Linked DNA regions of Ovis aries. The protein of the gene in region 1 purifies or fractionates together with the protein of each later gene. This does not show direct contact. Links are inferred from orthologs where the notes say so. Each region holds a gene or a part of one and is shown on either strand. Other genes may lie near its edges.

Region 1 (4,555 bases):
CAGAAAGCTACTGTTAATGAAAGACTTAAAGATTGCAACAAATCAATGATAAGGTTTTTAAATGTTTCAGAATTAGAAGTAATTTCAGAACCTTCAGTTCTTTCACATCTATGGTTCCAGACCCATCAACATCGAATAAATCAAAGGCCTCTTTAATTTCTTGCTTTTGAGTTTCATTCAATTCAATTTTTGCTGCATTTTTTTTCCATTGGTCTGAACTTGGTCTGGATGCCTGTAATAAATACACATGTGGGTGAAAGATAAACTGTGTAACTGGGAGAAGTACCAGAACCAGAATTAATGGACTAACTAAATATAATAGACATAGTCAAGCATCCTATTCCATATAATGAACCTCAAGAATTTTCCCCTTTCCCTTTGCTAACATTTATGCTTTTAGTTATAAATATATATCTTGCTGGAAAGCCTGGTTCTTTTTAACATCTTGGGTTTTTCTTTCAACTTAGTGCCCTTTGAGAAGCAGAAAAGGCAAAGAAGACATGCCAGAATAGTAGATGTTATATGGGAAAAAATTGGCCTTACTTGGTATATCCGAACAGCAGTGTTTAAGACATATTTACTTTCATCTGTGCCTGTATGTCTCATAATAAAATGTGTGAGATATGGTTAATTGAAACATCGTATCTTTTCCCACCTTCTCACATACTTTTCTACACTGCAGACTGGGAAATGAAAAAAATACATTTTTCAGGTTAAAAAAATTACTCCAGGGATCTGGAGAAGAATAAAGGTTGGACCAATTATCAATATCCAGGGAAGATGGAGGTCATCTTCCCGCTTCCTGCCATTTTCTGCTGTAGCCTCATTTCAGTATCTTGTCTTCAGCTCTGGGATAAGAGGCAGTAGTATCAGAGATTCCATGTTGCTGTGTATCTAGACACCAGCTTCACATATCTTAAGAGTTGGTCGTGGTAGCAGCGCATTCTTCATCCCTGGACGGCAGCTACACTGGTGTCGTCTTCAGTAGTTCCAATAGCAGAGGTCGTAGCTTCCCCGGCCAGTTTTTCAGAGTTCCGGATGTCTTTCCTAGAGGCCCATATTCTTCAACAGTTTTAAAGCCTCTTATTCTCTGTATTCAACTCGTTTCTGGCTAGCGAGTGGTTCCTGTCTCCAACGCCTTTGGTAAGACGGTTGCTGGGGTTAAAGAGGGGAAAAAATAAACTGGAGAACCGCTCTTCCGTTCCTAGAGCTACGGACAGTGCGCTTCTATTCGGCGACGAATGGAGGGGTTACTAATGACACTCGAGGATAATTTAGAAAGGAGGCGAATAATACATTTCCAAAACCAAACAAAACTTCCTTATTTCAGGGAGAAATTTCAATCTCAGCCCCAGTAAGAAGTTGCATTCTCGCACTCACCATGTCTCCAATCGGCGCCCCCGGCGGGCACCTCCCAGCTTTACCCGCCAGCCGAGCTGCCCAACAGTAGCTCACCGCCCGCAAACCGTTGCTAAGGCCGCTTTCGCTGATCTCTCCTGCAGCCCCGCCTATCCAGGCTTTTTGCCCCCACTGACTGACAGTTGTTTCACCCAATAGTCAGAAAAGAAGACCCTCGAGGCCCGCCCCCTCTCTCTGGTCTCTACCAGTAGCGTAATGGTCTGCCTTTACCCGCCTACCGTTAAGCGGAACTTTCCCTCTGGTTTCTTAGCAACCAAAACTACCAGCCCGCTCAGCTGGGCTTGCTGCGCGCTTGCGCAAAATACGAGGCGTAAGGGAAGGTTCTTTACCCTGGCGTTTTGGCTTCCCAGTGCCAGCCTGACGGCGGCGAGCGTCTCGTAGGGATGGAGACGAGAGCGAGGTTAGTAGGGAGGTGTTTCTACCAAATGGTAAGTCTTTGGTGGAGACGTGAGGGAGCTCTTGTTTCTTTTTCTGACCCTTTGGGGCTTGGAGGAAAGGATGAGGTTCTAGGGCCTGGTAAATTGGTCCAGGTTTAGGTTTACCATCCGGCCAGATTACGAGAGTCCTTTGCTTGCGCCGCTAGACGTCCCTCAGCCTCCACAGAGTGCGGGCCTTGACTTTTGTAACTGCTTCCCTCCTCCGTGGTTTGCCGGGACTCTCGTCTAGTTGGCAACATTTCTTTCCAGGAGAGGCGTGCTGTGTTCTTGGGCCCTTGGGATTCACCTGAAAACTCCTAGCATAGGAAAGAGTTTTTACCTGTGTTGTAGCGTTTCTTTGCACGTTGGACTCACGTATAATCGCTATCAGCCTTTTCTACTGCCCCACCCCCACCCCCAAAACACACACACACACACACCACCACCACCACCACCACCACCACCACCACCACCACATTATCACATTCAACTGTTCCACTGGGAAGATTTTTTTTTTGCCAAATTTGGCCGGTTTTCCAACCATTTCCAGCATAGATCCTCACTTGAGTCCAGCATAGGTAGCCTAATAATCCATTTGACTCAGTAACCGTCGAGATTTAGACGTCCAAAGCAAATTCTTGTCCAGAGGGCCAGACTTACTGGTTCAGCCCAGGTCTAAATCTAGTCAGGGGCCAGCTTAAGTTTGGGGGGTAGGAATGAGGTGATAGTCTCTTAAAACTTCTAACGCTTATTTGCTTACACGGCTGGACTCTATACCTCCTGCAGTGCCTTCTCTAGAGTAACTTCCAAAAATCATACTGGATTCTCCAACACTGGGTTCAGGAAGAATTAACTTTTGCAAAGGGTTTTCCCTTTATCTCCCTTATCTTCTTGAAGGTAAAGAAAGAAACATGTGCAAAGTATATTCTTGAAGTAATCTCCCAAATCACTTCTATTTCAGTAAGTAGAAACGGCACGTTTTCCAAAGCCAACATCTTGTTTTGTTTACATTATATCCCAGGTGCATTACAAGCACTGTAATCATTGACTGGAAAAAAAAACAACTCATTAGGATTCTGGAAAATAGGTGGGCTGTTCTAATGTTAGAAGTGATTTTTATGTGTAAAGTTACCCAGTGGAAATTAAAATGATGCAAATTCAAGATAGTTTGTGAACTAAGTAAAATGTTCAGTCACTTCACTATACTATATATGGATATTTCAGGCCATTAATCTCACTGAGAAAGTTGCTCTTGATTGGTTTCAAGAACATACACTTCATCTTTTTTTTTTTTTAATTTATTTTTTTTTTTTACTTTATTTTACTTTACAATACTGTATTGGTTTTGCCATACATTGACATGAATCCATCACGGGTGTACATGCATTCCCAAACATGAACCCCCCTCCCACCACCCTCCCCATAACATCTCTCTGGGTCATCACCGTGCACCAGCCCCAAGCATGCTGTATCCTGCGTCGGACATAGACTGGTGATTCGATTCTTACATGATAGTATACATGTTACAATGCCATTCTCCCAAATCATCCCACCCTCTCCCTCTCTCTCTGAGTCCAAAAGTCCGTTATACACATCTGCATACACTTCATCTTTACAACTAGTATTAAAGGGATTTCTGAAATCAGAAATGAATAATGACCAAGTAGAAGCAATTCAAATTTTTAGACTTTGCTGGATCAAGTTTGATCTTATGGCAATTAAAAGACTGAGTAATGTGTTAACCTGTTTTTGCATCATTTTATAATTTAGGCTTTTATATTTGGGATATTATAGTGAAAATGATTTTTCAATTATGGGTGTAGATTGCAGTTTCAAGGTCTTAGGAAGTACTCAGGATTGAAAAATAGCTTTTACTAATCTAATTTTACTCTAGAACATTAATAATATTAATCTAGAAAAATATTAAACCCATATCACTCTTAAATCTACTAAATTTATTTAATGCTTTCTGTGTATCACATACTATGCCATTTATTGGGTGAGTTTGAGAGAAACTGAGTGTAGAGTATAAAGATGAAAGAAGGCAGGGAACCTAGAGAGTAGTGAGGGAGAAAGGCACAGACGTAAACATACCATTTTTAGTTCAGGATGCTAAGTGCCTTAGTAGATGTATATAGAAAGTACTTTGGCAGCCCAAGAAGGAGATACTACTACTCCTTGAGGAATTGGAAGAAGCTAAGAGTTGGACACGACTGAGCGACTTCACTTTCAGTTTTCACTTTCATGCATTGGAGAAGGAAATGGTAACCCACTCCAGTGTTCTTGCCTGTGGAATCCCAGGGATGGCGGAGCCTGGTGGGCTGCCATCTATGGGGTCACACAGTCGGACACGACTGAAGTGACTTAGCAGCAGCAGTACCAAAAAAGTGAGGCATTTGCCTTAGGTCATGAAAGATGTATAGCATTTGCCAAGGTGAAGAAAGGGTAGGATATTCAGAGTAGAGTATAACATGTGCAAAAATGAATGTACATGTGTGTTGTAGTGTGGTAAGATCATGGGATTTATAAGAAAAGGTGGAAGAGATTAGTCTTATAAATTAGCTGGAAGTCAGATATATCAAGCTAGGAATAAAGATTCTTTTTTCTAAGATAAATGTTTTTAGGTAGTGGAATGATCTGATTAGGTTTGTGTTTTTCAAAGCTAATTCTGACAACCACGTAAAGGAGGAACATTTTGGAAGCAGTTAAAGGGCCTCAGC
Region 2 (3,821 bases), on another chromosome or scaffold:
ATTTTCCTAATTAATATATACTATCTTTACATATTTAATGTGGCCTTTTTATTTGGTTTCATATTGCCTAGCTGTAGACAAATGCTAATTCTTTTTTTCTAGAAAGATTAATAATACACACTTATTTTGATCCGAATTATATTTTAGAAATCATGAGATTTTTCCCACTAGTCTTCAACTTTAATGAAATTTCACATTAAATACATATATGGTACCTGGCACTGTAGAATGACTTACATAGTTTATCTTCCTTTAAGCATTACAATTCAGTGAAGTAAGTACTATTATTTCCATTCCTCAGAAAAGAAACTGAAACTCAGAAAGTAACATAGCTAAGGTCGAATAGCTGGTGAGTCACAGAGACTCAGATTCAAACCTAAGTATGTCTGTCTCCAAAGTATATACTTCTTCTTTTTTTAAATCCAAACTTTAAACTTTTCATTTTGTATGGAGGTATAGCTGATTAAAAATGTAGTGGCAGTCTCAAGAGAAGAGTGAAGGACTCAACCATACATATACAAGTACCCATTCTCCCGTAAGCCCCCTCCCCTTCCCATCAAGGCTGGCACATAACATTCAGCAGAATTCCATATGCTATACAATAGGTCCTTTTTGGTTACCCATTTTAAATACAGCAGTGTGTACATGACCTTCCCCAAGGTCCCTAACCATTCCCCCTGGCAATCATAAGCTAGTTTTCTAAGTCTGTGAGTCTCTGTTTTGTAAGTAAGTTCATTTGTATCATTTCTTTTTAGATTCCACATATAAGGGGTGTCATGCCATATTTCTTCTTCTCTGACTGACTTACTATGACACTCTCTGGGTCCATCCATATAGCTGCAAATGGAATTATTTAATTCTTTTTAATGGCTGAGTAATGGTTAGATAGCATTACCAACTCAATGGACTTGAACCTGAGCAAACTTTGGGAGACGGTGACAGGGAAGCTTGGTGTGCTGCAGCCCAGGAGAGAGCATAGAGTTGGACACAACTTAGCGACTGAACAACAACAACAATATTCTATTGTATATATGTAACACATTTTTATCCATTCCTCTGCTGATGGACGTCTAGGTTGTTTCCATGTCTTGGCTATTGTAAACAGTGCTGCAGTAATCACTGTGGTGCATGTAACCTTTTGGATTATGTTTTTCTCCAGATATATGCCTAGGAGTCAGATTGCAGGGTCTTCTTCAATATATATTTCTTAATCAGGTACCCAAAAAAACATTTATTGAGTGTACCACTATGTCCCAGGGGCTTCCCAGCTGGCTCAGTGGTAAAGAATAAGCCTGCAATGCAGGAGACCTGGGTTAGATCCTTGGATTGGGAAGATTCCCTGGAGGACACGGCTACCCACTCCAGTGTTCTTGCCTGGAGAATCCCCATGGACAGAGGAGGCTGGCCAAGTGCAGGCCCTGGGGTCGCAAAGGAGGTGAACGCAACTTAGCGACTAAACAACACTATGTTCAAAGCCATGTGTTAGACACGTGAGGATACAAACAAAAACAATCAAGGAATAAACCCTGCCCAGAAGCTTACAATCTGGTTTAGAGACCAGCTTGCATAAACATTATTACATACTTCAAACAAGTAACAAGAAAAGTCTAAGACAGGTAAGAATAAAATGCTATGGGAACAGAGAAGAGCATCCAGGAAAACTTCAAAAATGTAGCTACTGAGTTGGACCTTCAAAGATAAGTAGAGTTTTGACTGTTAAGAAAAGAATATTTAAGGATACAGAATGATAAAAAGCAAAGATGTGCTACTGTAAAAATATATAACATGCCAGGGGCCTGTCAAATTGTCTACTATGATTAAAGTGTGAGGTTCGCTGTCATACTCCAAAACAGAAGTCATGATTCCAGGCTTAGACACAGATAAGATTCCCTAGAGGGTACAGTGAAATGGCTCCTCAGAACTGATGCTAAAACCAATTATATAAGCAAGATTTGGGGAAACAAATATATATATAAAATAAAACCAATTAGATTTCTGGAGAGTTCTTGGTCCCAAAGGCTAAATTGGTCCCAAAGGTAAAATTACGTGTGCACTGCTGTTTGCTGAACTTAGCGTGGTAAAGTCTCAGCTAGAAAGCAGAAGTAGAATACCTCAGTAAACTGCTCAGGGAAGCAATCAAGAGACAGAAACAGAGGGAAGATAAGAAGCCCTCTCCCCTCCAAACAACAAAATTAAAATAAAAACAAAAGATCAAACAGACAATACTAACCTATAGCTGTGAGAGAATGAGAAAAAGTATAAGGGTACAAGGTAAAAGCAGACTACAGAGAAATCAGCCTTACCCAACATATTCTGAAAAAGAACAGAGGAGAAGAAAATTTTGGTCTCCACTATATTCAGAAACAGAAAGTAGGGAGGCCTATGCAAGGGAGTGACAGTGAAGAGGGCAAGAGCGCAACTGTGAGCTTGAGGAAGAGTGTAAGAGAATGATGACCTTCACTTCATAATGTGGTAGCTTCAAAAGCCTGCATATTCTAAGATTTCAAATTCGGAGCCATTTCTTATTTTTGCATAAAGAAACTCAATGGTCATTCTTCTTGTAATTCAAAATGGAATTAGGATAAATGTTCAAGTCAATTTGAGAAGGACTTGCATGTTTACAATGTCTTCACATTAATCAAATCTTTTATGTCAATAAAATGTTAATGTTTTCTTCATGAAGTTCTACATATTTCTAAAGGAAGAGCATTCCCACATATTTTTATGAATATTTTGTTATTGTTGCTCTGAAACATTTAAAAAAAACAATTTATTTTCTAACTGGTTATGGTTGAGAATGGGAAACATATTGATCTTTCATATTTATTGCTAGTCAATCATTAGTCCCACTTGCTTTTCAGTAGATTCTCTTGAACAGTATAGTTTTCAAATTATATTATTTGCAAATTACTGTCTTAAAACCTATGACAATTTACAAGTTCCATTTATGTAAAAACACATGTGAAACACAAATAAGTTTTATTCACCTGTAGGTACTTTCAAGCTGTGTATCCAGGAAGGTATTCTGAAAATAAAATGTCACACATTCTCCTGCTGGAGGTTTTTCAGGAACTTCAGGCATGCAAAAAACCACCCAGGAGTGAAGTTCAGAAAAACTGAACTGACCTGTCAAAGTCAATGTATTCATGGGTCTGCAATTTAATAAAAGTACATATATTTGTGTGGGAATACACAGAGGTATTACATGTACTTAATACATTAAAAAACAGAATTTCGCAATAGTAGTTACAAACATAAAAGCAGCCACTTAATTTTTCTCAGGTTAATCTTACCCATCAGATAAACATTTTGCTATACCTGTACTTTAACAGTTAAATGACATAAAAAGCTTGTTTTCATTATAATATGCCTTTACAAATAAAAATTCAGTTTACTTAGGTCAATTCCATTTTTCATAAGTTCATCTAGTATTTTTACTATACAAACTACAAAACATACACAAGGTAAGGAAAAAAAATCAGCATAATGTGAAAGTAAAGAACTGGGCTTTTTTTAAGACAGATAGATGTGGGTTTGAAACACTAGCTGCGTGCCACTAGGAAAGTTAAGGAATGATACCTTCTATTTTGCAAGGATATGGAATTAAATTTCTATCCTGCAAATCACACATACACATAAAAGGTTGTAAAGTAAATTAAATAAATGTAAAATGAATCAAAAGGATAGTTAAGAAAATACAAGTTTATCAAATTAAAGGTACAGAAAGAATTTTAAGAGAAACTTTGGAGATCTCCACATGAACCTTATTTTCAGATAAAAAAAAAAAAACCAAAACCCAGAGAGTTACATTATTTCCATAA

The links.
Region 2: the proteins of BBS12 (region 1) and BBS7 purify together in Homo sapiens (co-immunoprecipitation; 3 studies listed by BioGRID and IntAct, counting the BioPlex papers as one, with this or other methods). This does not show direct contact. The link is inferred for Ovis aries from reciprocal best matches to the Homo sapiens genes BBS12 and BBS7.

What each region holds. Positions count from the first base shown.
Region 1 is NC_056070.1:35,163,521-35,168,075, reverse strand, and holds the start of BBS12 (Bardet-Biedl syndrome 12 protein), read left to right. Parts: upstream 1-1,709; 5' UTR 1,710-1,819; exon of another isoform or gene 1,820-1,847; intron 1,848-4,555. Other genes in the region: centrin-4, read right to left, coding at 92-232, 544-606. UniProt on the Homo sapiens protein: Component of the chaperonin-containing T-complex (TRiC), a molecular chaperone complex that assists the folding of proteins upon ATP hydrolysis.
Region 2 is NC_056059.1:3,743,509-3,747,329, reverse strand, and holds part of BBS7 (Bardet-Biedl syndrome 7 protein), read right to left. Parts: intron 3,153-3,821; coding exon 2,988-3,152; intron 1-2,987.